Linked DNA regions of Drosophila melanogaster. The protein of the gene in region 3 interacts with the protein of the main gene of each other region in a pairwise test. Each region holds a gene or a part of one and is shown on either strand. Other genes may lie near its edges.

Region 1 (7,547 bases), on a different chromosome or scaffold from region 3:
TAATTGTTAATTTAAACTGCGTTAAACTTTTTTGTTTTACCATTTTGAGCCCAACAATGCATAGCCCCACCTAATGTGCCTACTAATGTTACTCCTCAATATTCTATTTACAGTGAACAAGTTTTGTCGAACGTCGATTAAAGCCAACTCCGCGCAATCGGAAAGTCCCAAGCAGCCATCCTATACCGCAGGCAAACAATAACTACGCTTTTGTATACAATTTTCAATTATATTAAAGGAAAGGGAAAGGTGCTTGCTGGCAGTTCTCAGCACGACATGGTCGTGTCCGAATCAGAATCCAAGTTTCTGTCTGAGTCCGAGCCTCAACCTATGAGTGAGCGCCAGGCTATTGACGACGGGTAAGGTTAATAACTAAACTATCATCGCTATTATCACTAATATACCTTATATATATATATATATACTCAGAAATATAGAAAACCTACTTAGTACTCTTGCTGATGAAGAGGAAACTGAAAGCGAAGTTAATATTCCAGAAGATACCAACCAAAAAGATGTCGGTAGTTCAGATAATGCAGAACCCAAGGATCTAAAGCATAAACACGGAGATTTTAACAGTCCAGCAAAGGACGATATAACCCGACCTCTTGTCCTCGAAGAAAGGCACTCGCTATCCCTGTAAGCCCCATCGAATATGGTATATAAATCGATTAGTTTTAATGGTAATTTTAATAAATTTCAGTGCTGAAACCAAGAAGCGCAGAGAGATTGCTTTCTCCAACGAACTACTTTTCATACCCAAAGAACTCGCACGCAGCGAACTTCAGCAGCGCACAAGGACACTGACTAGATACGCCAAGAATCGTGAGTACCATCTCCGAATGCTGAAATTTCCGATCGGTTCGGGTCGTCCTCGATACGTGGCTAAGAAAATGAAGGAGGCATGTTATCCAAAATCCAATGAAGCCAACCATGATCCCGAAACTACGGACATTAAGCAAGAAGAATGCATTGATGAGCCAAACGAAGTGTTCCAAAATCCAAGGGAGTTACCCCTTAGCATGCCCGATCTGGAAACAGAAATTGGAGAGCAGAGTCAACTATGCGATAATGATGAAATGAACATTATGCTGTACGACTTTGTGAAGAAGGAAGTCGAGTTTGTCTCGGAATCGGAAAAGATAAACCGCAAAATCCTGCAGAGCCAGCGTGAAAGTGTGATAAGAACTAGCAACTCCAAACGCCAGCACTATCCCTACTTTTCGTGGCACAATCCAGAGGGAGAGTGTGGTGATTCGAAAGGGGAGCCGGAAATCGAAGTGGGCTGCTGTGACGTGGAGTGCATGACGATAGTGAAGGAGGAAGTGGGCGAGGAGGTGGACGAGGAGGTGATGATGAAGAAGGTAGAGGAGGAGGAAGTGCGACATACCCAGGAATTAGGGAGTCCTGAACAGGTTGATCCACAACCAGATGAGGAGCTTGAGTCACCTGAGCAACCACAGGCCATCGGCTTCCTTTACTCTTCCACACAAAGCCAGGTTCCTGTGCAAGACCTGGCTCCCGTAAGATCAGGATCCCCTGAAGATTTCGGACAAACGGCACTGTGTCAGCAGTTAATTCACCACATTGTGCAACCGAATGTCTGCAACGAGGATGCATACCACCAATCCATCACGTGCAACAATAACGCCTCCGATCGAATGAATCAAAATCTCGGGCCACATCCGACTATTGAGGCGTCTGTCGCCCACGAGGTATCCTTCCAATGGAATCCCCAAAATGCTGATAACTACACGAATCAAAATCAGCTATTCCACAAGCAGCAGCTGCACATCCAGAATCAACCATACCTGCAACATCATTTCAAATTGCCAGCCAGTCAGCAGCAACACGAAGCGATTTTCCAGCAACAGCAGCAAGCGGGGAAGGATAATCTGCAGCAGTTGAGAGTCTTGTATCAGCGGATCAAGAACCGTGAGAGGAATCAACTGCATCACCTGAGCAAGTCCATGAAGAAGGTCTTGGATGAGCGTCTGATCTGCGAGCGACAGCATGCGGAGGAGAAGCGATTGTTCCAGCTCAAAATGGAGCAATTCAAGAAAGTGGAGGAGAAGTTCAAGTTGGACAGGGAGCAACTGCAGCACCAACTGAGATCCGATATGAAAACTCTCGAGCTGAAGATGGCTAACCAGCAGCGCCAGCTGGAGGAGAAGGCTCTGGCCTGGTCCTGGCACCAGCAGCAGCAACTCCAACAGCAGCAGCAGCATTTGCAGCGGCACCAGTTGCTGATACAACAGCAACCAGAAGCACAATCGCCGCAGCAGCAGCAGCAACAGCACTTTGTGCATCCAGATGCCCATATGAACACGGAGACTTATATAATGCAGCAACAGGCCTTCCTGTACGATCCATCCTACATATACTCAACTGCCTACCAGGAATCAGTGGCGTATCAACAACGCATCCAAGCCTACCATGAGCAGCAGAACTACCAAGCACCCGAGTCGCATACCACGGCAGTTGAGCTGCAGCAAAGATTTCTCCTTCCGCCACCTCCGTATTGCCAATCCAGCAGCAGGACCTGCACCCAAGTTAGTCCCTCTGCCCGGAAAGTGAGGCGTTGTCGCACAAGGATTTCTGAGCTGGGAACGGATCCGTATCCTTGCCAAATAAGAACTCCCTTGCCGCCAGCTTCGCTGATCTTGCCCGGCCACCGGAATTTGCAATCCCAACCCCTTGAGCCCAGAAACGACCATTTCGGAATAAACTCGGTCATGTCCAACTACGTGGCTAGCTTTATGAACATGCAGGCTGATCGATAATTACTTTTAATTACAGTTCATTGTTTAACGAACATTACTTGTGATATAAGTCCTAGCTGCTGTAGAAATTGTGAAAGAATTCATTTTTTATGTATCATAAAATATTTATAAATAGGGTTTAAATATTACAAACTAATAAACGAAAAAAAAACCTTAAAAGTGACTCTCTCTTCATATTGCAAGAATAAATATTCTTATTATTGAATTCAATTAAGAAATAGTGGCAAGCTGCTTGCTTAAAAGTCTTGGAATTTTATTACACTTTCTTCTTTTACAGTGTAGGAGTGGCTCTTAGTCCCCTTCCCTAGCGACCATCTCTTGGAGGAGCTCGCACCAAGCCGGGATGCCAGAAGCAGTTGGAGCAGTTGCAGCGCGGACAATGCCAGCAGTTTCCGCACTTCATGCACACATTTCCGGTCGCATGTTGGGTGGGCGAGGAGCAGGGGGATGGACCTGGTACGGATCCGCCACTGTCCCAGAGATCCTTGTTCCGGAGACACGAACGACTGCGCTTCGGGCTGGCCGAACGAGCTCTTGGCAGCCCGGCGGCGGAGGCAGATGTGGCTGTTGGGGATGATGACGAGGATGGTGGTTGTGGTGGTGCAGCTGGAGGAGCACAAGGAGCTGCCGGCGGGCAATGAGGCTCTCTCTTCGCCGAACTGGAATCTGGCTGATCTAGAAACCTAACCGTGGGCGCATACAGCTGGAAAGCCAGAGGCTGGGGGATCTGCAGGTCACAACAGGACCTCTCCCGTTCCTTGCGCAATTCGGCCAGCAGGCGATTGAAGGACAGGTCGTACTGCACCAATTGCTGCAACGGCAGCTGCGAGTCCTGTGCGGGATTCGTCAGCAGCTGCTGATGCGTCAAGTGCTGCGGTTGGGCCAGCGGCACCAGGTTCCACGATGGCGGAACTGGAATCAGGCTGCACAAGTAAACGGGCTGATTTAAGCCACCATGGGAACTGGGTGGTGCCAGGCAAAAGATCTGCGGCATCGCTGGGGCTCCTTGAGCCAACGATGATTCCTGTCGATAGCATCTTGATGGATTTGGCTGCGAATCATATCCAGCGCATGGTCCACCGGCTGAACAACACTGGCCATGAAAGCTGCAAGGAGAGGCCTGGATGGGATTGGGCATCGGAGTTGGATATGGATTGGCACTAGGACTGGCACTTGGACCGGCTGTACCTGGCTGGCCAAATCTGTCCAAGCCACCATTGAACTGGGTACAGCTCGAGCAGATCATGTGATTTTTGTATTCATCCAAATTGAAAGAATTCGGCAGTGGCACATTGCAGTCAATGCTGGAGAGGAAGGGAGTAGAAATCGAATCACTTTTCATGGAAATTCATGTATAAATTACCTCAGACCCTCTGGACACTCGGTGACCAGGCACATGCCCAGTCGCGGTGGTTCCACCTCGGACTTGGAGGGCACATCGTTGGTCGACAGTGGAGCGTAGGACATGGTGAACTGATGCTGTGAATTTCCCTGCGACTGCAGGCCGCCACCGTTTCCATTGGCGATCAGCTTGCCCGACGAGGTTGCATTGCATCCGTGCTCACAGCTCTCCGTGCAGAACATCTTCAACTCTTCACCACCCGGAGAGGCCAACTCACGGATATGACAATTTTGTGTACATGTTAAAGCACAAAAGGTGTAGAAATGTTTGACATCATAAAGCTGAGACATACTGATTGATACCAGACTTGCTTCTCTAGTATATAATTTGAATTATTTTAAGAAATAAATACTGTTTCAAGTTTTTAAATAATTTTATCTTATTAATATTAATATGGTTCTAAAATCTTAAACACCAAGAACGTTTTGGTCACTACTTACACAGTAAGGGAAATCCAGTTTCGATGAGCATTTCAAAGTTGACAGTACATTTGTCGCCTGATATACTTTTTGATATGCGTTAGGAAACATCAACTCACAACACCCGGAAAACACATCAAAATTCAGGAAAATGGAGGCCCCAGGCGAGAATGAATCATCAGGGCAATTGGCCAAATCAAATGACGAAACGGTGGCCAAATGCTGTTTCATGATTACCGTGGGCACTGATGGTCTCATCGAAATTAGCTCACTTAATCAGGAATGCAAGAATCCCCAAAGCGGAGCAGACAGTAGTAACTCCCCACTGACGAATGGCACTAAGGAAACCAAGAAAGAGTGCATAGCTGTGCTCAAAGGGAATTCAAATGACATCGATGATGACTCAACTGAAAAGCTGGAGAAGAGCAAGAATGACAAGTCCATAGAGGAGATCAAGAAAACCGAAACTTTGCCGCCTTTCGTTAAGATCTGCAACAAGGATCTGGCGAATAGACCTTCGTTCGTGGTTCTCGAGGATGCTTTGGCTAGGAATCGGATTCAACAGGACATAGAACAGTCGAAGGAAGACCAAACCGGCAAGTGTCAGACGCAGCAGACCTCGCGTTCCTACGCCATTTCTAATGCAGGATCCCAGACGGACAAAGCCTTTCCGCAGTATCCAACCACCAGCAATAGCAACCAGAAAGGTTATATTATTCATTTTAGATTGCTTCTATATTTATGTTCCTTCCTCCCTCTTTATTCCCCAGGTAACACTGTACAAGCCGCTCGGAAGTTATCCCTTCAAACTGCAGCCCAGGTCCGACAAAAACTTTTAAAATTAAATCGGGAGCAACAGCAACAACAGCGACAACCGTCGCTGAATGAGCAGCATCAACAGCAAATGTCCTTGCTGCAACATCAGAACATGCAGCAGAATGTGCTGCAGCAGCAGCAGCAACATATGCAGCAGCATTTGACGCTGCAGCAACACCCGAACGTGCGAGTTCAACCGACCAACAACTCGCCATATGTGACCATCAGTTTTATGCACATGAATCAGCCGGGGACGGCAACATCGGGTTGTCCTGTCATGTATCCTGGCCAGCAGTTCCTGTGCGCCACGCCGAGCAGCATGTCCAGCTGCTCCTGCTGCACGTGCAGCAATTGCTGTCCGTCGAGGACGAGTCAAGTCTGCCCAATGCAGATGGGCAATCAGTATCAATGTCCAGCCAACGGAAGCAACTGCTGCATGTTGAAGCCGGAGAGTTTTGCAAACGGCTGCTACAACGGTGGTACATCCTGCTGTCCTTTGTCGAGCATGGAATCACATCCTTCTATGGGATTAGGTGGTCAGATCAGCCAGCACATGATGCACCCAGTTCTCGGAACCTCCACTTGTGCGCTGCAGCAGCAGCCGAATATTCCGATTTCTGGAGGATTTTATCCCTGTTGCTCGTGCCAATCCTTGTGCAACCAGTGTTCCCAGTGCAGGACGCACCCCCATCCTTGTTGCCACTGCCTGGGACCCTTCAACAACCAACAGGTGTTCCAATCACAGCAGCAGCAGCAACAAGCCCAAAGTGTCTGCTGCCCCTTGAAACCAAGCCAGCGACGCAGCAGCTTCTACCCATCCAAGGAAAAGTCACTAAAGTCCAGCGAAAGATCCCACAATCAGGATGGTATAAAGCCCATATTTAACAAGAAGGCCCAGGTTCAGGAGAAACCCCAGGATGTCAAGGATGCCAAGGCCACCCAAGACGATCAAGCCGGCAGCAAGAAGTCGCCATTACCCCGATCCATGGGTGGTGCATCATTTGCGAGGACCAATCCATCCAGCCCAACCTCCCTGTGTGTCGCTCGGTTTGGCAGGACTTGCTTGGTCCTGAGACCCACCAGCAACGCCCTCATTCCACGCCTCCTGACCAAGCGAATCAGTCGCTACACTTCCGTGATAGCCTGGCCAACAAAAAGTGTGAAGCCTAAACTACAAAATCAAACCAACATTCAAGATCAATGAACTTTACACTTTCTTTGATGAATAGCATATCTATTTCTATAACTCGGTTTTTGTTTCACTACTTAAGATGTATTTGGCTAGAGTCAGATCGTGGCTAGAGTCAATTTCCAGACTATCCTTGGCATCGATTTCCACAACGGAGCACCTATTGTTTTGCAGTAGCCCACTGTCCACCAGTTTCCTCCTCGAGAAGTAAAACATTCCTGTCTCTACAATATCACCCTGCCAATCTTGGCGTCTTGGCCTGGCACTCAAATCGAATTCCGCTGGCATCAATTCACCATCGACCACCTTCCATCGCAGATAATGTGATCTGAAATAGATCATAGATTTTTAAACATCTACATTTTTCTTAGAGCATAGTGTACCTCTTAGCGGCAAAAACACAGTCATGGGACTCAAACTTTCGAACAGCCTCTTGAATATACTTGGTTTTCAGGAATACAGATGTGCATTGGAATAGAGCAAAGTCATGAATACTTCTATGAACATCTAGGAACTCCGAAATGGCATGAAGTGAAGGAGTGTCGTCTCTGGCGAATTTCTCAGGCCGATGATGTATTATGGCACCATCTAAAGTGCTCAAGAGTTTAAAAGATATATTCACTATAATAATATTTAATGCTCACACTTTTGTGCCTCAATGGCAATTCGTTTGTCATCTGTGGAAACCCAAATATGTCGAAAGCAAGTCGAATTTTTGATGGTCATAATTGTGCGGGCCAAAAGCGATGAGCCACCAATTTCAGCCAGGTTTTTCAGCTTGATGCCTTTGCTGCCTCCCCTGGCCAAAATTAATGCATGAATATCGTTGCTCAGACTGAAATAAAATCCAATAAATAAAAGTACTCATAAATCTGCACTACACTAACCAATTTTCCGTGCACCCGGTTTCGAAAAGAAAAACTAGTAAAATAAGAAAA
Region 2 (8,121 bases), on a different chromosome or scaffold from region 3:
AGAACTCTGGCCGTGTACGCCGGCGTTGAGCATATGCAGGGCCGTGGCCACCGACTGGAGGACGGTCTGTTCGTTGACATTGGGGCCAACGGTGCGTATGGTCTTGGGCAGTGAGATGTCGTCTAGCTCCTCGCCACTGTCGTGGCAGGCGCGTAGTCGTTCCAGTCGCTTCTCCCAGAACAGCTGTTTCGGCTTCTCCCGAGTGCCATGCTTGGGTTCATTCTTCGCTTTGGCGGGATCCTGTTTATGGTTGCGAATCACCGTCACCGGTTGCTTGAAGATCGAGGCAGTCTGTCGAATGGGAGGCACCAGGGAGACATCAGTGCGCAGGGCTCGGCTGTAAGGGATTAAAGATTGGAAATGTATTAGAGAAACGCCTTCAAAAAGCTAAAACACCGAACAGCACATTAGACAAAGCGTAAAGTAAAGCTTTAGCATGCAGAGATGGTGGAACATAAATCTCAGGTGGCACAGAGCTACAGCGTTTTTGAAGACAACTACGAATTGTTTTGCCAATTGTGTGTTTCTTTGGGTATTTTTTCATTTGATGCTTTTTAATTGCCGCAGGCTGTAGACCTTGCGTCCTGGCAAACAAGACATGACACGCTGACATGCAAGAGTCAAGTGCTCATCCACTTGGCTCTACCTGAGTTCGATCTGTTGCTGCTGGCGATTGGCCGTTGATGGTGAAGCAGATGCTGCTGTCGCTGTTGCTGCTGACGAGGCGGTCGCTGCCGGAGGAGCAGCTCCTGCTGCTCCTGCAGCATTGCCTCCTTGACTCCGGGCGAACTTGCGCTTGAGGGCATTGGCCGCCGATCCGCTGGTGGCCCCATTACCGCCCCCGCTTGCTATAGGCAGCGGCATGGCGCTGCAGCGGTACAGCGAAATGGAGGGCGAGGGCAGGGCGCAGTGCGGCATTTTGCCAGGCTGGAAATCAGGGATTGCAATGTCCTGTGGCTTTCCCTCCGCCCTTTTTCCTGTGGGACTGCTGAACAGACACGGCGGTGGATGGATATTTTTGGTGGGTTAGGTGGTAGTTCGTGTGCGTGTGTATACATAGGCGTATGCGTGTGTGTGGTGTATATGGTGTGTGTGTGTGTGGTTATGCGGATGTAATAACAGAAAGGTAGTGAAAGTGATTATAAACGTTTATCCGATTAAACAGCGTGCAGTGTTCCGATTTTAGGTATATAGTAGTCTATATAGTAATTCTGCTCTTCTTCTTTACCTGTAGTAGAAAACATCCACCTTGTTATTGTTGTTGTTGCTGCTGGCTGTGGCACTGCTGTTGTTGTTGCTGCTGGCGTTGTTATTGGCGCTGCTGCCGGACTTTCGGACCTCGTCGCGCTGCCATCCCTTTGGCAGGACACTGCAGTCGACGCGTTTGCGCTCGATTGTGACGCTCGGGTTCATTTGCATGCTCGCCGAAATAAATAATTAACAATTCCACAAAAGCAGCGTCTGGGCTAGCAGTGTGGCCGTACTGCGGATGGCCACAAATGCCGGATGGCACAATAGTGATGCTAGATTACATTCTCCAATATATTTATGATTTGAATTTAAAGGTACCAATGGGAAAATGAAAATAATTTAAAAGGTATTTATTTAAAAACAGAAACCTTAAGATGTTACACCTTGCACATTTTTCATTTCCTTTAAGCTTAATTCGCTAGTTAATCAGCAGTAGACCAATCTCACCTGGCCACACTGCCCAACACCTGATGTGAACATTTCACAGCACTGGTGGGCCAACTAATAAGAAAAAGAAGCAGCAGAAAAGGCGACGTAAGAAATTCCGGAGTTTTCATTCGCATTTTCCAGTCTACGAAACGGAATATGTAAATCCAGCCCATTGATAGACCTAGCCCACTCATCGCCACCTCGCGACAGTTGCCAACTTCCACGCGCAACGCCTGCCGCGAGCAGTAGAACCATCGAAGCGACCTCCCACTCGATCCAATTGGGAATTTTACACCTGGGACAAGTGGCAGCTGCTGGGAACCAAGAGACATGTCTTCGTCGGCCATTTTCGTTCTGGACGTGAAGGGCAAGGTGCTGATATCGCGGAACTACCGCGGTGACAACATCGACATGGCCGTGATCGACAAATTCATGCCATTGCTGATGGAGCGCGAGGAGGAGGGCCTAATCACTCCGATCCTTCAGACGGCGGAGACTACATTTGCCTACATCAAAACGAACAATCTTTATATCGTATCCACGACGCCGCGCAATAAGAACGTTAATATCGCTCTGGTCTTCGTCTTTCTGCACAAGATCGCGCAGGTCTTTGTGGAATACTTCAAGGAGCTGGAGGAGGAGTCCATTCGGGACAATTTCGTGATCATCTACGAGCTGCTGGATGAATTGCTCGACTTTGGCTACCCGCAGACCACCGACTCGAAAATTCTACAGGAATACATTACGCAGGAGGGTCATAAGCTGGAGCTACAGCCCCGCATCCCGGTGGCCGTGACCAATGCAGTATCCTGGCGGTCCGAGGGCATTAAGTATCGCAAGAACGAGGTGTTCCTGGACGTTATCGAGTCGGTGAATCTTCTCGCAAACGCCAATGGCAATGTGCTGCGCAGCGAGATCGTGGGCGCCATTAAGATGCGCGTCTACTTGTCGGGAATGCCAGAGCTGCGACTGGGTCTCAACGACAAGGTTCTGTTCGAGAGCACGGGCCGCGGCAAGTCAAAGTCCGTAGAGCTGGAGGACGTCAAGTTCCACCAGTGCGTGCGGTTGTCACGCTTCGAGAATGACCGGACAATCTCGTTCATTCCTCCGGACGGCGAGTTCGAACTGATGTCCTATCGTCTGAACACGCATGTGAGTATTTTTATGTACTTAGCACCAAAATGCAAGACTAACTAAACCCCTGTTGACAGGTCAAACCCCTGATTTGGATCGAATCAGTGATCGAGCGGCATGCCCACTCCCGTGTGGAGTACATGATTAAGGCGAAGTCTCAGTTCAAGCGAAGATCGACGGCCAACAACGTGGAAATCGTCATACCAGTGCCCGCCGACGCGGACTCACCCAAGTTCAAGACCACCATTGGAAGCTGCAAGTACGCACCGGAGCAGAACGCAATCATCTGGACGATCAAATCGTTCCCGGGTGGCAAGGAGTATCTAATGCGGGCACATTTCGGTCTGCCGAGCGTGGAAAGCGAGGACAATACGGAGGGCAAGCCGCCAATTCAGGTGCGCTTCGAGATTCCCTACTTTACCACGTCGGGCATCCAGGTGCGCTATCTGAAGATCATCGAGAAGAGCGGCTATCAGGCGCTGCCATGGGTGCGGTACATCACGCAGAACGGCGACTATCAGCTACGCACCAATTGAAAGGGGCAACTCCCGTTCCTGCATCATTCCAGCCAAGCTTCAGCGAGTCATCCTGCAACAGGTAGCTTCATCTCCACCCGCGTTTTTGTCTGCGATGCGTTGCGTTAAGTCAAAAGTATATATTTGTATTCGTATTGTTTCAGTATATGTATATTGTATGTAAATCAAATTTAATAAATTTTAACACCTTTTCATAACACCTGCACCAGAGTGGGTCACTTTGTATGTGCAAATTAAGACCTAGGATGCAACCAAGTTTATCCTCTTCGTTGGTCAGAGAAAACCCAAAAACCCAAAGTGTCTAATTTCACATATCCACCGACCCACCTGTACAGATGAGTCATAACAAACGGGTTGAACCCACAAAAAACTGTTTGCCTATTGCTTAATCATAATAAATGCACTTTCGATCGAGTCTCTCGGTTCGTTTTGATTTCTGATTTGTTAGCATCTTTATGGCACCTATCTGGAATCTATTTCTCAAAGTCCTTCAAGGGATAGTGCTCCTTGTGGGCCTCGATATGTTTTTCCAGCTCGCTACGCTGCTCAATCAAATGATCCGGCATCTCCGCGTAGACGCCTTCGAACATCTCACGCCAGTTGGGCTTGAGTTTCTTCTCGGACACTGCGATCTGCTTCAAAACCTTTTTCCTTATGTCCTTGACATATTCGTTTTCGACAGTCTCGTCAAACCAGCCTTTGTGCACCATGTAGCGCTTAAGCTTGGATATTGGGTGCTCCACCGAGTTCCAAATCTCGATCTCCTCCGCTGGTCGGTAGGCTGTACTATCATCTGAGGTGGAATGGTGACCCACTCGATAGGCCAGTGCCTCGAACACCACCGGCTTGTTCTCCTTGAGGACATACTCCCTGGCAGCCTTCATCGCATTATAGACGGCGAAGACGTCTGTGCCATCCACTCGAATGGTAGTAATTCCATAGCCCATAGGTCCGCGACCGGCGATTCCATCGCCCTTGTACTGTTCATGCGATGGTGTGGATATGGCAAAGCCGTTGTTTCGACTGTGGAGAAAGGTACGTCATGAAGAAACTTATTTGAATGGTATTTTTGATAAGATAAGAAATACATCCAAAATAGGTTATCTTATCAAAATAATATGTATCTTAAAGTTACTCACCAGAAGAGGATAGCCGGACAACCCAAAGTGGCAGCAAAGTTAAAGGCAGCATGTGCATCTCCCTCGGAAGCAGCTCCCTCACCAAAGTAACAGACCACACAGGCATCGTTGTTTGGCCTCAATTTCATGGCGTAGGCGGCACCAACGGCCTGGGGCATTTGGGTGGCTGCCATACAACAGAGAAACTGGATAAGCATTCTCTCATCAAATAAATAAGACTATATTAACTCACAAAGCGGACTGGAGATGGTGACAAAGTTAAGTTCCCTTGAGCCGTAGTGGACGGGCATCTGCTTGCCGCGACCCAAGTCGTCCGTGTTGCCGTAGCACTGATCGATAAACTGGTCGATACGGAAGCCACGCCAAACCAGAACACCCGCTTCACGATACTGCCCGTAGATGAGATCCCGCATCTCCAAGGCGGCGGCACTGCCAATGTGTGAAGCCTCCTCGCCGAAATTGGTCATGTAGAATGAGATTCTGCCCTGTCGCTGGGATTCGTACAGGATTTTGTCCATGGTGTTCAGCAGCACCATATCGCGAAACATTTTCTCCACAACCTCACGGCCCAGCTGGGGATCCTGGGTCTCATCCGCTATATAGCCATCCTGGTCCATCACCCGGTAAATTGGTATTGGCGCATAGTCTTCCGGTTGAATGAGGTTCAATTTGCTGACAAATGGAGCCTTGGCACCGGGGAAATTGGCGTAATCTTCCGATGGCTTTGAGCTGAAGTCCCGCGCAGCTGTCGAGATCGCTCCTTCAATCTGTCATGGGTAAAACCAAACAAATAACAACATACCCCTCTGATCACTCCAAGTACTGACCACTTTCAGGTGTCGTTGGCGCCTCGCCACAGAACCCAATAGGTGCACCGATTTTCGCAGGAATGACATGGTATATAATTTGTGTCTAATCTATTAAATGCAACAGGTAATTTTGAAGATTCAGCTGCGTGTTTCCCAGCTGATTACGCAACACAATACCATATCGATAAGTCTCAATCAATCGATGTTTAAGTGATTGGCTATCGAGATCTCCAAAAAAAATTTCTAATGGATTTTATTAAATTATTATTATTTTCATTTCCATTTTAATTGATTTATCCCGATGTTGAGGCTACATTTTCATATTGAAGGTTATACTACTGTATGTATTTACAATATAGTTTTCTTTATCTGATACATTTTTCTCATTAATAACTTAAAATAAACCCCAAGAATTAATATCCGTTTAATAATAACGATGGCTAACGCAGGATAATATGTTAGCAAGGGTTCGTTTTAAATACGCGCCAAACAAATATCGATAGACGCAGCTACCCATCGTGCGTATACTTAATATTTTCGTTTTCCTTGAGCCACCTTTCGCTTTCGACACCATGGCAGCAGTAGAAGAAGCACAATTCTGGCAAGCGATTGGAATACTGATCAAAAACTATCATGCTTTGAATAAAAAGATATTCGAGGTAGTCATTACCCAAGTGACAAAGCAGCAGAATGGGCGAGTGTGTGAATCCAGTGCGGAGGAGTTGGCGATGTCTCTAAAAGAGGATCCAAGCCAGCGCACGTGCACAGGATTTACGATCGGATTCAAACTGCTGTCCAAGAAACTGGCGGAAAACATCCTAGGCACCGGAATTGTGGGTGAGGATAATCACAATATTACTTACTTCTTAGACAATTCTTATTATATTCCTAATTACAGATTTTGAGAATTGTCTCTATGAGTGCCAATTTGCCAGCGATAGCATTGAAGGCTTTTCCGTGGGCCTCCTTGGAGGAGAGTTTAAACTGAAGTCCAAATCGAACACCAACTGGTTGGAATTTGTGCTCAGACCAAAGCTCTTAAGCTGGTCTCAGTCCAAGCAGGATGAAGCAAAGGTGAAGTCACTAGGTTTGGTTAATGTGGAAAAGTACAATGATCTGTACAAGGAGTTGAAACAGAGGCATTCACAACGCCTGCTGGAACACTGGAAGACCGCACAGGAGTCCACGGATCCGCTCAAGTTCATTTACGAGGATTTGGCTATCGCTGCTTATCTTATAGTTTTGTGGAGTCAAACACAATCGGAGCCCACTGCCTTCGCTGATTTGGGTTGTGGAAACGGTCTGTTAGTTCATGTCCTCAACGCCGAGGGCTACAAAGGGTATGGCTACGATATAAGAAAGCGAAAGCTATGGTCCCTCTATCCACCGGATACCCAAAGGAGCCTCATTGAAAAGGCCGTGGAGCCCAACAGCTTCCGCTTGGATTTTCCGGGTGTGGATTGGTTGATTGGTAACCATTCGGACGAGTTGTCTCCTTGGCTACCGGTTTTGGCTGGTCGTTTGAACATTAACTATTTCCTACTGCCCTGCTGTCCCTTTGAACTGTCGGGAGCCAAGTTTCGCAGGCGGAATACGAAGATAAGTGCCTACCAGGATTTCTTTCAATACGTCACTCAGGTCTCTCATGAATGTGGCTATGAGATCCTACAAGACCGTCTAAAAATACCAAGCACCAAGCGATTGGCTCTGCTGGGAATTAAGAGAAAAGCCTCAAAGGCTATTGAAGATCTGGAGTACTTTGTCCAAGAAGAGCTAAGAAAGTATAAGACCGGAGATGCCAAAATTAAGCTGCGCGAGAAGGAGGAGAGCGTTCGAAATTGCACGCAGGTGGATAAGACCATAATTGATGGTCTAGTGTTTAAGATCTTCAAACTGATTCTGGACTCTAACGAAGATAAATGGTCTGGTCGTCTGCCCATGAGAGAGATTGCCCAGGCTCTCACCAAGGAGGAGCTGAGTGGCATTAAATCCGAGTGCGGCGGCATCAAAACATTGCTGCGCAATAAACACGAAGTTTTCGAATTCTGCGGTGGTGATCTCATAGGAATAAGAACCCCTAAACCAACGGCTACTCTCCCCAAATCCCATTTGACCATCAAGAAACGTAGCTGCTTTTTCAAGCTTCATCATCCGCTGGGATGTCCTCTCGATGATGCTGAGTGCTCGTTTATACACTAAGCTAACTCTCTATGTGTGTGGTATTTGCTCACCTTTATTATTTGGATTATAATATAAAGAAAAGTGCAATAATCGTGTCAATTGTAGAAACTAGGAGTCGATCAGTGTCCTCTAACGAGAGCTGTCACTGCTATTGCTGCGGCGTCGACGACGAATGGGGGAGCGGGAGCGACGCCGTGGTGAACGCCGGTTCCTCATGGGTGACTGACGACGTCCGCCGCCGCCGCCACCACCTCCTCCACGATTGTTGAACCTATTGAACTGGGGTGGGGATCGCCAGCGGTTGTTTTGCGGACGGCGCATCGGTGGCGAAGGACGACGCATGGGCGGCCTCTGTTTTACTAAGACAACCGGGGATACCGTAATCTCCTGGCCATCTATCTGCCCGCCATCCATATGCTTCATGGCCGACTCACAATCCTCGGGTGTGGCATATTCCACAAACGCCACGCCGCGTCCGAAGTTAGGATGAAAACGATCTACGGGAAACTCCACATTCTTCACATCCCCAAAGCTGCTAAATATCTCGAACACATGGTCCTTGGTAACGTTGCGGGTAAGCCGACCGACATGAATGCGCACCTGTTTGGGCGAAGGCGAGCGAGTCCGCGAACGGGAGCGCTC
Region 3 (8,990 bases):
GTGCTCCACAGACCCACGCCCACCGCCATTATCCAGGGGCGGGAGTAACGATCGCCCAGATAGCCGAAGATGGGGGCGCATACCATGTACGAGATAACGAAGACCGTCTGGAGAAGTCCGGCACTATCATTGCCAATATCGAAATCATTTCGGACATCTGTGAGAACTCCTGGAAGATGAAAGGATGAAAAGCGGAGATTAGATCCTTTTCGAAATGTACATTTTAGAAAAGTGGTATCGGTGGAAATGTAAATGAACATACAGTATTATGTATTACTCTTTTATTGGCATTATGTATTAGGAATTCGCGTGATGTGTGATATACATTGTATACATTGTACTTCGTACATATCAGCCCATCCTCAGCGGGAGTTGTTAATTGACAAACCATATAAATCGTTAATACAAGCTTGCTATATTCGAGTGTTTTACGTAAGTCCCAAATTGTTCAGTTTAGCAGGGCAGATGGATGTATCTATAATTAGCACTCCCCAGTCATTGGAGCCCCACTATGACGGCGAGAAAATTCCGGAAATGTGGCGTATGCTTTTATGGGTCATCATATTTTCCCCAGAGTGCCATAATAAACCCATCGATATCTATTAAAGAGAAGCCTATATAGATAGTACCAACTTTAATTGATCAAAGTTGATACAACGCCCATTTTTGTCGATATCTTTGTAGTGGTAATAATATCTGCAATCGATAGTCAAGGGTGTGACAATATGTTGGATCTCAATGTCATTATTTATCTTAAAATAACATTGAAAATGTAAATATATCATAATCATGCTGTTTATAGTCTCGAATAGTAAGTACTGATAAGATCCGCAACTTTTTATCAGCTGAAGGATAGCTTTTCAATTGGTAACAATCGAAGTGTTGAAATATCGAAATATCATTATCTTACTAGTTATTTCGTAGCTCCGATAATCAATGTATCGATCTGATGAAAATCTGTGTCATGATTTGAATATCGATCGCTGCGATCACCTTCGCACACATTTTCTCAGCTGTGTGGTCATGTATTTCCTGCACGTCTCGTCTTCAGCTTTGCGACGTTTAAAAATTCATTAACAAACGGATGTGCAACTAGCGAATTAATTGACAAACGACCTTCGTCAATAACTGTTAGCCGATCTAACGCTACTTCCTACATTCTACATGCAGCTCAAAATAAAAACAAAAACCGCTATTAAGCTCCGTATTTCTATGCGTCTCTCTTCGTACATTGGCCTTTGCGGAATGGCCAAAATAAAATAACTACCTAAAGTGCTTGAGTACCCAAAAATAAACAACGGCCCACAAAATCAAGTGGGCGATGGGAGAGAGTGAGAGTGGGGAAGAGAAGGAGAGAGAGAGTGTCTGAGATCAGAAGCCGGCAAATGCAGCAGCAACAACAATGACACACAGAAAGCTCAACAAGTTGTGCCCCAAAGAAGGAGAGCGAGCGAACGAAAAAGAGAGCCGCAAAGAGACCTCAAGAGAGAGAGAGAGCCGAAGCTCCACGAACCCCCGCGAACCGAAGCGAAACGTGGCACGAAGCAGCCAAGTTGCAGTGAATCAGCCTTTGCTTTTTAATTATTCCATTTTCTGGGTCTTTTCGCTCATTTCGATTTGAGAAATTTATCGTACGATGTTTTTCGACCAATCAGCGTGTTTGTTTGCCTTGCCTAGTGACGTAACGGTTGGGGGACGCCACGCGATAAGTCTGTGTGCGTGTGTGTGTGTACTGCATTGCGATTGTGGACTGAGAGTGGCTGGCGGAGAGAGGCGGAGGGGGGACACAGTGGGGCTGGTCTGGGTGAGGCATTCCTTATGATATATACATATGTATATTTATATTATTGCTATCTCGCACACTTAACGAGTAATCTCATTCCACGCAAGGAATTCCTAATGTTTATGGGCACTTCTTGGCCAAAAACAAAAGAAGTCAAAGGAATACGTAGATACATACATACCTCCCTCTCATTACCATTTTCCCCACTTTTGGGGAAGTTTCGTCAATGTATTTAGTATTAGTATTCTTTTTTAGCCGGCTGCCGCATTTTTAGAACCTGTTTATCTCTCTGGCCAAATTCTCTCTTTGGTTTGTTCTCTCTTGTGCCCAATAAACGCGACAGTGGGATTCGCAATGCTAGGTTTTATTACAAATAATATTTGGACTTCCCCAAAGGTGGAACTTTCTGGAAACCAGACAATGACTAGTGGTATTTACTAAAAGACTCTGAAATGTATGTACGTTTATCTCAAAATAATTTCTATTACTTGAGCAGTACAAATTCCAGAAGTCGAAATTTTGAAGTGTTTTATTTTTCCAATTTCAACGAAGCTTATTACTATAAAAATGCACTGTACTGTGGCCAGAGAAATCTGTAGAACGTTGATCCGTTTAAAAAGCCAATATTTATAACCAGGCAACTGCAGAAGCCACAACAACAAAGCCGGGACTCTCATTACCATGAATGAATGAAAAAGTTGTTTGCGTCCGAAAGTGACTGTTCTCAGTCACTCTCTCCCTCTCTTTCGGCACAACAGCAGTCTATCTCCCTCTGACCCCCCATGTTCTGTGGCGTCTGATGACGTCGGCCTTGAAAAATCGCGCGATATGCAGCGTAAGCTTTAAAATCGGACGATGAATAAACGACGAATTTCTGACAGATATTTCGGCCACGAGTCGAAGTCAAAACCCAAAAAAAAACGAAAACCAAAAAGATAAAAACTCACTGAGGCTGTGACTTTCGCTTGGAATGCATTTGAATGCTTAGCGGAGCACTCGAATTGTGTTTAGAGAAAAACTTTCTTGCTTTCTTTTCGGCGGGCCAGGTGGAAATTAATTGTGAAAGCGGCGGCGCCCACAGAAAAGTGTTCCCCAACCATCGCGTTCCAGACATTCCCTACCCCAACCTTTTTTCTACTATTCTTCGGATAGTTTTTTTGCCTTTCGTTAATTGAATTTGTTGCGGCAAAAAGTGTGCACTGCACTTTGCGTAGGTCGTTGACCCAAAAAACGTATCTTGAATGCAGAATAGAACCATTGACGTTGAATGAGCGCGCAAGCCTCAAACAAAAATGCAAAATACGCTAAGGAAATGTGCATTTGTTACATCCACGCGTTTTGTGTAACCAAAGAACCTATTCAAATTTGAGGCATACGTAAGTAAACTATCCACAAGTTTGTGCCATATTTAGAAATATCGTTTGGACAAATGTTTATGCAATGGAATTGATTCAGTAAATTTCAGTGTGAGTAATTTCACTCAGTTGGTGGTTATTTTCCAAGGGTATTGACAATTTCGGTTTGTCAAGGCTGCATATTTTATATTTTCTTTTCATTGTTATTTCTTTCCCCAACTGCGATGGCAACAAAATGGAAAGTTTTTATGTATCTTTCGCAGAAAAAAAAACATTTAAAGCGAATATATAAAAAACCGAACTCAGTGACTTTTGGGTTTAAACAAATGCAAAATATGCAAAACAAACGTTGAAAAATGGCAAAAAAAAAGTAAAAGTGATTGCAAAAGACTTGAAAATAACTAAAAACAGATATATGTATGCCACCGAAATCTCAACTCGATCAATTGACATAGACAATTATTGTGATCGCTTGCTTTGGATGGGGGCCAAGAAAATTACGTCGGAAGCATAGCAGAACGGCAACTTGGTCTATATATCTCAGCCCACATATCTGTTGACCAAAATAAATGCCAGTTCTTTTTGCGATGATCAAAGTTCGCTGTCGGTGCAGAAATTGAATTTACTGTCAACAACAGAATAGCCCCGCCCCCCCCTTCCCATCCACCCTCACACAGATCACGATCATGAATGAAGAGGGGGGCTTCCCAGTGTTTTTTTTTTTTTTTTGACCGAACGAGGTGGTTACAAAACATCACACCACTACCGTCAGTCGGTCGGTTTTAGCTTAAAAAACCAGGCGAATTTCAGCAAAGTCGGAGGTCGAAGCCAAAGGCCGAGACGCACTTAAAATTATAATTAAATGCATTCCATTAGGTTGGGCAGACATCAGCTGATACACACGTCTATGTGCGCCAAATAAATATATGCATATGTATGCATGTATTTTTGCTTGTTATATACAACCACACGGAAACGTTGCAAATGCCGAAATTCACATTAAATACAAAAGGGCCAAGCAATCAGAGCAGTCAGTTAGCAGAAGCTAAACAAATAATCGCTTGGTAATCTAATCACTGCAAAAAAGTGACCCAAAACACCACGTGCACTGCAGCTGGTGATCCAATGCAATTGATTATGCAGCGCGTCTGGTTTCAGCCACTTCTTGATAAGGCCCAAAAAAGTGGGGGGGGGGTTGATAATGATAACAATGCCACTGGCAGAAATGGCAAAACAAAAACCTTGTGCGACCGACCATTGTTTATATGAGTTTTCTATTTCGCCTTGCGCTCGCAGAATTCTCAAAATAAACAATCAATTAGGCGCCCATGGAAATAATGAAAATTTCCGAGTGGCGAGTAGCGATGTGTGTTTATATTAAATATAATATGTAAACAGCGATTTTGTTTGGCTCGGTATGTAAGTGCTATCGCCCCTTTTCGGTGAGTAATTCCACTTCCTGTTCTGTTGCAAAAAGTCGTATGATGTTTTTTTAGTCACTCGATCCGGTGGCTTTACACGAATCAAAAGCTTATGATTTGCAACCGAAAAAAAAGGGTTGTAAGATCGATTTCCAATTGCCGCTGCGGCAATCAACTGATAACTAATAGCCAGTGATTTATAATTGCAAATTAATTGCAACTACACATACAGTAAAAGACGTTATCACATGGCCTTGAGTGGAAAAGTTCTGCTGACTCAGGAAGAACTGGCTGTTCAGGTTCACGAAGAAAATGCGAAACTATAGCTATAATATACACATATTTAGAAATGCATATTAAACGGTCGTCTGAGGCGGACTTGTACGTATAATAATCAGTCACAACTTGTTTCGCCATGTAACCTGAAACAAGTTTCCAATCGATTTGCACCGCGTTTTGTGTAACTAAGATGTCGCCAGTCGAAGTGCAAGTGCAATCGGTAGTAGTCTCATTTTCCAGACACAAGTAAACAGTGAAAAGAACTTCGGCACTCAACAAGTGTCCAATGAAATGCCGCCCGCATGAATTAAGATCAATTTCCTTCGCTAATGTTCTTAATAATAATAAACTCAACAATTATGTGGGCAGTGTGTCTGTATTTATCGACTGAAACATGAGATTACCCTGTAATTGTCACGCGGGCGGGGGACTTTCTGATCGCCGATCGCAACTACCATTACCCGCCGTGCTAAGCAGGTCAGGTGCCGCCACCGCCGTGCTCACTCACTCCATTTTATCGCACCTGAGTGCTAGAAATAATATACATATGTTTAGGTTTAGGCGAAATGGGTCTTGATTGATTGCCCACCCAGTGGAAATGTCCCGAGTTTCGGTGCAAAGCGAATCGAATGATAAAATGCTCTGTATGAATATTTTTGGATCGCGTGATTCACTTGTAAGTAGATTAGTCACTAATCAAATTCTCTCGCTCGCAATCTTTATGGTACATTTTGTAAACAATGGGAACGCGACGACTCGCATTGTCGACGATGAGGTATAAATTTCAACTGATTAGGTCACAAGTATTGTTGATTAGCGGCTGCTAATTAATAACATTATGATTTTGTCAGCAGATTTTGTGCAATTTAAATGTTTTTATTATTCTTTTGCCTGATATATAAATGAATACATACTATAAGTGCTTTGGGCTGCCCAATCTTTTGGTCACACAAAAGTTGTGATTTTTACAGCGGTCTATAGCAATCTTCTTCAATAGTGTCAACAAATTTTCCTATCTACTGCGGCAACAAGCCCCCCAAAAAACGTATGGAATCCCATAGGACACCCAAAGAGGTATCACCGGACTCACCTGCGATCGTAAAGCGATCCATGTAGTTGATGAGGTTGACGAAGCATAGCACGGTAACGGTGAACCACTGCGATCTGCCCACGCTGGAGAGACGCGATGGCACGACGGCGGATGGTGGTATGCCCGGGATGTGGTGGTGCTCGCCCAGTGGGTGGTGGTGATGGTGGTGGGGACGCAGTCGGTGCCGCTCCTCCTCCATGCTGTCCGTATCCGAGGGCATCAATTGCTGTGACGAGTAGGTCGTAGGCAGTCCGAGCGGCGATAGATTGGCCACATCCTCACGACTCCCGCCCTCCTCAGAGGAGCTGCTCCCACTGCTACCGCTGCTCTGGATCATCGCCGGATTGTCCATGGCGGCCGCCGTTGGGAGCGGTTGGTAGGATTGCTTCTGGTGTTTCAGCGACATTCACCCGATCACTCGATCCTCTCTTCTCTTCTCGCGCTCTCGCTGTCCTCTTTCGGTTGGAAATTCGCAGCAGGCGGACAACGCGGCAAAAAGTTATTTGCACACGCTCTTTGCTCACGCACACAGAGAAACGGGAACTCGCGATGAAAGCGGTTCAAAAGCGAATGCAAAAGAATTTGCTCTTGGGCTGTTGGCACACCACCGCGCTTCTCTTTTATAACACTTTTGCCAATTTGTATGGCTAATTCGACTGTGTACTGAGACACTTCCTCTAATCGCGGTTGTTCTTTAAATGCAGCCAATGCATTTGCAGTGCTTCTCGCTGTTTTTCTTTCTTGTTTCTTCCGCGACGCGAACACTGTTGCCTTTCCAACTGGAGTAAGTGCAATAAGTGTGACCGTCCGGCGACCGCGAATATATACCAGAATCCAATTGGCGATGACAATTTCGATAGTACTATCGATAAACTAAGACCAGCTGCATATCTATCGACTAATATCGGTATAGCTATGCCTATCGATAAAAAACATTTAAAGCAATTTTTAATAAATATTTTTACATTTAATACAAAAACATGAACAAGAATCTATATTAACAAGCTAAGTTGCGCTCTGTTAATTAAAGAATTTTTATTTTGCCATAATATTCTGAGCATTACAGATAGTGTACCACTTATCTCTAGAAAACTGTTGACAACCGAATTTGAATTCAAATTTAAGCGATGATTTTTTGGTTATGATTGTGATGATTAAAATCTAAGTGCGTTACGAAGGTATATGCGAATGAAAAAGAACGATTTCTATTCAATATCCATATCATCTACGCGCCCGCGAACGCGATTCTTGCGCTTGTGTTTTTTAGTGGGCGGTGGCAGGAAACTCTCAAGAAACTCAATGGTATTCAAAATCGTTTCCGAACTGACGTTTCCAATGTAGTTCTTGTCGAAGTAGACGACCGGTACAGGTGGCTCCGTTGAGAGCAACAATTTGTCACAATTACAACGCTGTCCCTGAATTTTTGCATCGAGCGTTTCCACTTCAACATCTGTGTTATTTGATTTGTCTGGAAAGAGGTGCCTAAATAGGTCAATCTATGTCTGAACTCCATAAAGAGTTGCCACCCACCGAATAAGGGACGAAAGCACTCCTTCACCTGAATCCACTTGGTGCAAAACTGTTTGATGAAACTGTCGTTCTGATTGAAGAAACTGCGAGCTGCATTGTCAACCCGGTATTTCATGAATCCAGGCACATATGGCCATTTGCCCTTCGCGGCATAAAAGCATATGATGTCTGAAATGTAAAAATTTAAGCGATTTGTAATTCTGCTAGCCTTAATAAAAGTATTCATATGCTTGAGGAGATAAAAATTTAAATATTTTAGTTGCTAAAGAAGTTTATTCATTGTTTCCTTGCGACATATGATAAATTGTGAAAAAGTATAGCATACTTTTAGGCTTAGCCGTATTCGTCTCTTAAAATGATTTCAATGCGTTGTGGATGTCTTTTAAACTGAAAAGAACTATTGTAAATTGGGAAGATATCACACAGAAACCTATGTTCTAATCCTTGTTCAAAATACAGAGATCTTGATCTAGAACATTCTAGTTAAATGTGGAAAAACTATGGCCCATTCTTGTATATAACACTTTCGATTGCGAAATAGATTGCTTAACTTACAGGGCACATGGAAGAGATGAAGAAAAGTGCGCTGATGCTCCAGACTGGAGATGAGATGAATACCGCTGGACCGCCGATTGGCCAGGGCCTTTCTTCCGGCAAAGGGAATCTCATCCACGCGGACACTCTTCAGATATGCCTCGCCCATGGTGAATAGAAATATGGCTAAAAATAGGGGCAGAATATGCAGAGCGATTTTCCGACGCAGCTCCATTGTCGAACTTTCCACTAGCCAGCAATAAATGTGACTGACGAATGTCCTGCAGGAATTGTCAGACACCTGAATGATTTCACTGCGCTCTCTATTGATTTTAATTGTGCTCGAGGTTGACATAAATCCAGGCAATAGGGATACATTGCATGTGCTAACCCAATTTGCCAGCCACAAAAAGTTCATTGCACTCAAAGTTACATTTGTGGAATATACATGACAACAAACATCATACATACAACAAAAATTAAGTCACAGGAAATGCAGTATGCAAATCATGAGTCATTAGCTAATATTTATATTACTCAATATAGACGAGATAATAATCAGCAGTCACCTGTCAGAACAATTCACTCCGATCTATGAATAATCAATTGATTTACAATTGCAATCCATCTGAGCGAGGAAGAACTACTGAACTATTACGAACACATTTCTCATTGCCGCCACGCGGCGTATACTTAATTTGCTAAACCTGCTTTTATGGCACGCTTTTTCCCACTCAAAACATTTTTCGAATGCCGTAATATAGATATAACCCACGTGTTGCAAATTTATTTTATGGCTTATCAAGTTTGGCACACTTAGAAATAGGAAAGCGAGGCGAATTTCCAGACAACTATTAAAGGTAGAGGTATTTCTAAGAATTATGTAACCAAAAACGTTAGATCCAAAATAGCAAGCAAAACAAATAACTAACTGAAATAATGCTTGTTCTTAAGTATTGATAGTAGTTTATTTTCTTACAATAGCTGCATTCTATCTT
Region 4 (7,619 bases), on a different chromosome or scaffold from region 3:
AATGCCGCCCTCGGGCAGAGGGGGACAGCACATGCCCGGAGCAGGAGAGCACGGGATGGGAGACGGGGCTCCGCATGGCGGACTGTGGGGGCCACAGCAGGGTGTTTCATTACAGGGTCCACAGCATCCACATCCGTTGCACATGTTGAGTTTGTCTAACGCTGCGGGCGAAAAGTTAAGATGTTATACTTTTTGAACAAATACTTAACACTCACTTTTTTGGTTGAGTTATTATCGAAAAAGTAAATTTGGAATTTAGAAAAAAATTTAGAAGTCGAAGCGACTGGTCCGAGAGTCAGATATCGAATGAGGTTAGCTGTTCCCTTGGCCCAGCACATCCAGTTCAAGTTTCGGTTCGGGTTGGCTTAAAAGTCATGGCCAACTTTATGAAATTTCATGGCCTACTTCGACTTAGCAAAGATTATGAAATCGCCACAGATCTACATAATTATATATCTATATTTGCCTTATTCACTAAAACAAAATATTTGACCCGCGAATTGTTTAGGTCAACTAACTCACTAAGATTGGAACATGGCTCTCCCAGCTCGAAAAAATGGGTTTAAAACAAAGTACTATCAGCAAAGTTCAACTTTTAATTAATTAAATCTTAAATGCCACGGAAACCCACCCTAATAAAATTGATATTAATTAATATAAATATCAGAATATCTGTGGGACATATGAACGTAAATTTTTATGGCCTTGGCATAAGGTTTCAACCTTAATTTACAATTCTAATGCCAGGCTTAAAATATAAATATTCGAAGCATAAGTGCAGCCATAAAATAAACGCAACCTTTAACACCCCCCATAATACACAGAATATAATTTCAATTTGTTTATTTGTAATTTAATGCCAAATAGATTCCAGATACCAACATATGATTTTGTGTTTAAATCAAGACCGTCTGACGAATTGCACATGGGTTCCCAAATAGCTTCGAGCCCTTCTAGTAATGGGTATTCCGCAGCTGGCTAAATCTTGATTTAAGCCAACTTCAATTTTTTATCAACCAAAACTACGTCACAAAACGACAACATGTCCCGCCAAGGAAGTGGCCCATATCAGGATCCGATCGAAACACTTGCCAGGAAATACTTATAAGCCACCTGTGGGATGAGAAAGGTAAAACCAGTGAATGCAGAAGGTATCGCAGTTACTTACACGCGACAGGATGCGGATGGAGGTCAAAGGGTCATGAAGGATTTGGGGCCTGGCAACAGCATTTGGTCCATGGATCCTACCTCTACGCTCACAAAGCCCAGGACATGCTATCATTGTTGACGGATCAGCGTAGTGGGCATAAAGCTCCTGCAAAAGGACATGAAGCGTCACCACAAGCACATGTTCCAGATGCTGTGACCTGCAAAGTCCTTGGGCATGCCTCGTGCTCCTCCGCTCCATGGTTTTTACGTTCTACGGACGCCCAGCGCCGTGACAGATGGACAAGCAGACGGACAGACAGGCGGACAGGTGGACGGACCTGGACCGGACTTACATGGGTACGTCACAGGTGCGTTATAGTAGTTCCAGACACGCGGATCGGGAATGCCGCCTTCAGGCAGCGGAGGGCAGCACATGCCCGGAGCAGAGGAGCAAGGAATGGGCGACGGAGCTCCGCATGGAGGACTGTGCGGGCCACAGCATGGAAGACTGTGCGAGCCACAGCATGGAGGACTGTGCGGGCCACAGCAGGGCGATACATTACAGCAGCAGGGACCGCATCCACAGCAGCCGCCGGCAACGCGTCCACCGCATCCGGCACCGCCATTTGGTGCTCCAGTGGCGGCACAGCGCATACGCTTATTGTTCACGCCCATCATCATGTTAGCGTAGCGCAGCGGGAATGCCGCCGGACCGCAGGTGGGGAAGGGGAAGCACAGGCAGGCCGGTCGGCCCTGGCAGGCGGACCGCGGGCACTTGTCCTGCAGACCGTTCCGCTTCACGCAGTCGCAAGTGGTGTACATGATGCCGCATCGTAACTCCCGACTGCGGCATCCGCGCGGCTGGAAAGGATGCATACATAGTGGTCACAAGTGGTCAGTGGTGTGTTGCATATGGTTACTCACCTCCAACGATCCACATCCGTCACACATCTTGAGCCCGTCGAGCGCTACAGGACAAAGGATTTAAAAATATACTATGGTCTTCCCGGGATAAACTTACTCTATTTGGTCAAATTAATTTGGAAGAAAAATTTGGAATTTGGAAAATTTAGAAGCTGGCCGAAACGAAAGGTCCGAGAGTTTGGTATCGAATGAGGAATGATCAACACATCCCAACACACATATTCGGTTCCGTTTGAGATGAAATGCAAGGCCAACTTGTTGGAATTATAGCCTACTAGATTTTAAGAAAGAGTTAATATTAGATTCAAAATGCAAAAAGCTTTTTCGCTCTTTTTAAAAGCTCTGTTATCAGCTAATTGTATTATGCGATTTGCTTACAATTCTGATAAGCGATCCTCTTTTCAGTTCATTCCAAGTTCCCAAGCTGATCGGATTGGAGCAATGCCTAACATTGCAGTTATCGGTGCCGGGGTTAATGGTGTTGCCAGTGCCATTAAGATACTGGAACACTATGTGAACGATGGAAAGACACCCATAAAGGTGACGATCATATCGGAGGACTTCACGCCTAACACAACTGGAGATGGTTCGGCTGGTCTCTGGGGTCCGTACCTTCTGGGCGGCACTTCGCAGGCGAAAGTCTAGTAAGTTTTACTAGTCACTATATTATATTCTTACTTATAACTTTTTTTCCATCAGCAAGTGGTCGAAGAGCATGCACCAATTTTTGGAGAAGATCTGGCTGAGCGAGGATGCCGGAGAGGCTGGCGTTTGTCTGCTACCCTGCATTCGGCTGAGCACCTCAACGGTGGACACGGTCGAAGATTTTTGGCGTGACATTGTCTATGGAGCAGTGGATCTGTCCAAGGAACAGCTGGCTGCCTACAATAAAGGTCGCAGCGTTAAGTTCACGTAAGAATATTCATAGATATCCATAGATTTATACTTGCTGAAATATGAACATATCTAAACCATATCTAGGTCTGGTTTATCCTTTGTTACCTACACCTCGGAGCCCATTAAGCTACTGCCGTATTTGATGAAGCGTTTCACCCGAAATGGAGGTGTTGTTGTCCGGAAAAGGATTACAGACCTGGATGCATTTGTAGCCGATTCCGAGTACGATGTGATAGTCAATTGCTCCGGATTGGGCTCTAAGACCCTACTAAACGACGATCAAATGTACGCAGTGCGTGGCCAAGTTTCCCGGGTGAGGGCCAACTGGATTTTCTCTGCCGTGCTGGACGAGAGTGATGATGGCAACTATATTATACCCAAGTGAGTATTTGCCAGTTACACTTATTTGTTCGTATTCCAATATCTGAAATATTTAAGCACCGAAAGTGTTGTCCTGGGCGGAACCCATCAGGAGCGGGACTACAACACTAAAGTCTGCCAGAACGACAGGCGGATGATCGTCGATGGCTGTCAGCGGTACATTCCTGGTTTGGAGCACACGGAGTGCCTCTTTGATTGGGTAGGTCTCCGGCCGGGTCGCACCCAACTCCGACTGGAAGCCGAGCGCCGCGGCCGCAAGCTCCTCATCCACAACTATGGACATGGCGGCAGTGGAGTCACTTTGTGCTGGGGCTGTGCCGACGATGTCCTCAATATCCTGTTGGCCGCCAAGAACGGTTCCAAATTATAAGTCAGTTGGAAAGATTATTATTTTAGTTCTATAACAAAATTGGTAGTGTAAAGGTAACAGCATTTAAAAGCATCTCTTTATCTACATAATAAACATTTTAATATATTTCATTACACTTAGCAATTTCTATATGGAAAATGTTATAAAATTGAATTGAATGCTGTACTACGTTTTGATTGGGTCAATGCAAGCATATTTTTGCCTGTGTAGGCAGCACTATCGCCATGGCATGGGGATCGTATTGATAGGCTTATCACCGACTGCTTGGAAACATTCCACTATTCCACCCCCCCCGTCAAAATTGGCACTCCACGATGGTGCCTGCAATTAAGTAATTGTGAAAGGGAAGCTGGGGGAATTACGATGGGGTAGCCCAAGAGTAGGCAGACATTTATGTGAAGAAGACAGCAGGAAACATATCAAATATCGTCGTCGTGGCGCTTTTCGGCTGCCTCCTTGGCCAACCTGGCATCCAGGGCCTCGTGGAACTCCTCGAAACCGGGCATTTCAATGTACTTCAGTACCGGCGAGACGGCCAGTTCAAACAGCAGTGCGTACATCTCGTCTAGCTCGCGAAGGATGTCAAAGGGCCGGGTGTTGCCAACCTTGTAGATCGAGTAGATAGTCCGCCCGATCTCTTCGTAATCGATCAGACTGGCGGCCTCCTGGTCCACGGAGCTGAGGGCGATGAAGCTGACCCGCGGCATGTGCATGTGCTGGGCCACAAAGCCAAAGACATCGAAGATGGTCGACAGGAAATCCCGGTTAAAGTAGAGCTCATCCGGAAAGGCGATCTCGTGGACGAACAGTGCATCGTAGGTGGAGATGCCCATGTTCGCTTTGGTCGCATCGATGAGCTCCTTCTTCATCATTATGATCTGCTGGAACAGATTCCTGGGCAACGAAGAGGGAAAGAAGACCCTGTAATAAAAACAGACATGTTACTAGTATATATTAGGCAAATGATAGTGGATTTATTGATCATACCAGGAGTGCCATTCCTCGGTCATCCATTCCAGCAATCCCACTGCCCTTATTTGCGTTTCATCTTCGCTAATCATCATCACGGAGCACTCGTTTCGCAGGATGTGTCGCACATACCTTTATAACAATATTCCAATAATGTTTTATTACTCTACATTTGTTCATAACTTTTTTATAAAAGCACATTACCAAGAATAAGTCTGTTTCATGTCCGGCAAATCGAATAGTCCCAGACTCTCATAGACAAGACTTTTCAGAAACGAATTGGACCACATGAACTCGATCACCATGTCATAGTACCTACATATATTTCAATTTTAACATCTAAACTTTACATTTCTCTGACCATACATGCTTTGAATTGATGTCAACTATTTGCATGCCCTCGAAAACATCCCATTGGATATCATACCGCAGAGTGCGGACATCTTCCATCGCATTTAAGTCACTAAGAATTTTAAAACCACCGAAGATTTTTGAATTATATATACGAGCTCAAAAGGTAGAAGTTAAAAGTCTGGAAACTTAAGCTAAAACTGCAAGATACTTTCGAAAGAAGAAAAGAAAAGCAAAGCATACTTTTTGGGTCCATAAAAAGAAGGAAGTTAACGTACCTCAACAGACCATTTTTTTGAGTGTTTTAAATGAAGTACATTTAAATATCTGAAATGTATCTGTAATGTTTAGAATAAAAGGTGAGCAATACATTTCTCTATTAATGTAGATAATTTCTTGCTAGAAGATTGGAATATGGGTTTGCATACTTCTTGGATGGCATTCACGTTGCTTGTAAAACTGTTCAACATATTGTTTTCCAAATACGATGGTCTTAAATTGGTTTTTTTTTCATATCCAAACGGAATAACCGTAAATGTTTATTTGTATTACGAAATGCAAATGAACTGTTTTGAATAATGTCATAATTAAACGAATATACAGGCGGTAACAATCAAGGGTGATACGTGTAAATTTAATTTGTCTAATGTCTCAATTTGAATAAATTGCCACCACATAAAAGCAAATGCAGCCCAAAAGAATGTAAATAACAATCGCACCCATTTTGTGGGTGGAATTCAATGGAAGGCGGATATCGTAGTCAAATGGAAACCAAACCAAATCCACCCTCCAGCCAAAAAAAAAAAAAAAAGAAAAAAGAAATGTGCCAACTGAGAACACGTCCTGGAACATACACCTTGGATTCCTTATTTTAAAATTCAAAGACCATCGGGTGTCATTTACTAGGCAACAAACCAATTGAATAACCGAATTTGGCTCGGATGCTCCCTCATTTCCTAAAAGGATCCCTTCTCAGGAAAGACAGCGCATTTTTAAATGTTTCACATCCTTGTCCGTGAGACAATTGAATATTTAAATACAAGCGACACTTTTAATGGCTGGCATCGGATGTCGGTTGGACCGCTGCCACACGCATTTGTGGCATAGCTATTCAGGACACGTATGCCGCCGTCTCATGTCTCTCCTGATAAATTCAATATCGAAAAGAAATAACTTAATTTTTGGCATTATTCGATGGGGGATTTATTTGAAAGTGCTCTTCGCTTTTCTCTTCATTTCATTAGAACGAATGGTTCGAGCTTAGTCGAGCTGAAGCATTGAGCATCGGCTTTGGCTAAGTCCGCAATGGACTTTATGATGTTGCATAAAATGTGTGTGTGGCGGGCATAAAAACGTCTCATTTGGGACTCATTTAATCCGCCAAATTGTTTGCACACACTCGCATTTGCCACACCCATCGTCGCACATCCTTTCATGCCACAAAAAGGTAAACGATTCGGTGCCGCAACAATAGCAAGTTTCAATTCATTCGAAAATCGCTTAACGTCAGCCGGGCGGTTTAGCATGTTTTTCAGCGCACACCTGCGCATTCCCTCGGAATCGCGAGCTGGGTGGTGCCACCCAATGGTGAAGCTGGTCTGGGTGGTTCTCTGTGGATCTGGGTGGTGCCCCTGTCAGCCGTGACTTGCATTCGCCGCTTGCGTTTAAAATCGAAAATACACAACGAAATGGAATGCAGCCGAAAAGCAAAGGTGTCGGCAGCTAAACGGCGATCAGAACGAAGTTTATACATTCTAAAGATAGTAGTAGTAAAGATACAATACATAACTTCAGACTGCTTATATTACTAACTAAATTACTAAACTAAATGATCTGACTAAAGACTGAAAGCATTTTTGATTTATTTTTTATTTATTGAATAGTAATGCACACAAGAAACCATGTATTTAAATATTTAAATTGAATGGTATATTATCCTAAGCTGTAGTTTCTTATAAATTTATACACTCTGCACCCCAATTAACGAACCCTTGACAGGGTATGTCAGTGAGATGTGATTGTGATGGCTGAAAAAGCCGGCTGACAATGGATTGCGGGTTGGTTGGAATGGATTCTGTTGGAATGGGATTCTGGGAGCTGTACACTTGTTAGCCGCAAGGTGTTTGCAACCTCATCAGGGGCAGCCCACTTTCCCATACCCATTTTCATTCGGTTGAAGCTTCGCGGTTGTCGAAAGGCAAACAAATAAACAAACAAGTCGTCAGCAAGGGTTCAACAAAAGCAGAGTGCTCAAAGTAATTCAAAATACAGTCAAATGGGAAAGGAGTTGAGGATAATCCATGGGATAATCTATGTGCTGCCGTAGTGTTACCCCATGTTTGATTATTTAGCGTTTAAAAAGCGTTTAGTCTAAGTATCTTTCTGTTTCACTGCTCTGCAGATGTTGAAATACATGAAATTTTTACTCTGGAACTTTTCTCGGCAATGATTTGCCTGGTTCACTTTAGGGGAAAAATTGCGTAGCGATCATAGCTCATAATTATGCTTGTAAAAACAAATTAAACTTCAGTTATATACTCCATTTTGACTCTTCACAAAACTCCGTTGTCTGCTGGCT

Evidence for each region.
Region 1: the proteins of spin (region 3) and hale interact in a two-hybrid assay, tested with the Drosophila melanogaster proteins (one large-scale study listed by BioGRID).
Region 2: the proteins of spin (region 3) and AP-1mu interact in a two-hybrid assay, tested with the Drosophila melanogaster proteins (one large-scale study listed by BioGRID).
Region 4: the proteins of spin (region 3) and CG17377 interact in a two-hybrid assay, tested with the Drosophila melanogaster proteins (one large-scale study listed by BioGRID).

Annotation. Positions count from the first base shown.
Region 1 is NT_037436.4:19,981,409-19,988,955, forward strand, and holds hale (hale-bopp), read right to left. Parts: upstream 4,461-7,547; 5' UTR 4,368-4,460; coding exon 4,147-4,367; intron 4,088-4,146; coding exon 3,088-4,087; 3' UTR 3,018-3,087; downstream 1-3,017. Other genes in the region: CG17732 (uncharacterized protein), read left to right, coding at 277-359, 430-639, 704-2,783; schuy (schumacher-levy), read left to right, coding at 4,756-5,311, 5,375-6,624; Csas (CMP-sialic acid synthase), read right to left, coding at 6,661-6,937, 6,993-7,197, 7,254-7,444, 7,497-7,547.
Region 2 is NT_033777.3:9,553,139-9,561,259, reverse strand, and holds AP-1mu (adaptor protein complex 1, mu subunit), read left to right. Parts: upstream 1-1,734; 5' UTR 1,735-2,010; coding exon 2,011-2,832; intron 2,833-2,891; coding exon 2,892-3,350; 3' UTR 3,351-3,548; downstream 3,549-8,121. Other genes in the region: MBD-like (Methyl-CpG binding domain protein-like), read right to left, coding at 1-337, 647-988, 1,229-1,419; BckdhA (branched chain keto acid dehydrogenase E1 subunit alpha), read right to left, coding at 3,824-4,373, 4,490-4,655, 4,722-5,256, 5,317-5,385; CG9386 (uncharacterized protein), read left to right, coding at 5,871-6,135, 6,197-7,497; RnpS1 (RNA-binding protein S1), read right to left, coding at 7,609-8,121.
Region 3 is NT_033778.4:16,122,721-16,131,710, reverse strand, and holds the start of spin (spinster), read right to left. Parts: upstream 6,731-8,990; 5' UTR 6,335-6,730; coding exon 5,929-6,334; intron 170-5,928; coding exon 1-169. Other genes in the region: CG30095 (uncharacterized protein), read right to left, coding at 7,134-7,396, 7,459-7,626, 8,014-8,227. UniProt on the Drosophila melanogaster protein: Probable sphingolipid transporter that plays a central role in endosomes and/or lysosomes storage. Involved in TGF-beta-mediated synaptic growth regulation both pre- and postsynaptically via its function in endosomal storage regulation.
Region 4 is NT_033779.5:6,800,538-6,808,156, forward strand, and holds CG17377 (uncharacterized protein), read right to left. Parts: upstream 2,253-7,619; 5' UTR 2,171-2,252; intron 2,118-2,170; 5' UTR 2,101-2,117; coding exon 2,074-2,100; intron 2,011-2,073; coding exon 1,414-2,010; 3' UTR 1,316-1,413; coding exon of another isoform or gene 1,314-1,315; 3' UTR 1,171-1,313; exon of another isoform or gene 1,169-1,170; intron 1,114-1,168; coding exon of another isoform or gene 1,103-1,113; 3' UTR 841-1,102; downstream 1-840. Other genes in the region: CG17376 (uncharacterized protein), read right to left, coding at 1-144; Daao2 (D-amino acid oxidase 2), read left to right, coding at 2,515-2,717, 2,773-2,985, 3,055-3,351, 3,409-3,721; CG17375 (uncharacterized protein), read right to left, coding at 4,141-4,642, 4,709-4,822, 4,895-5,005, 5,061-5,140.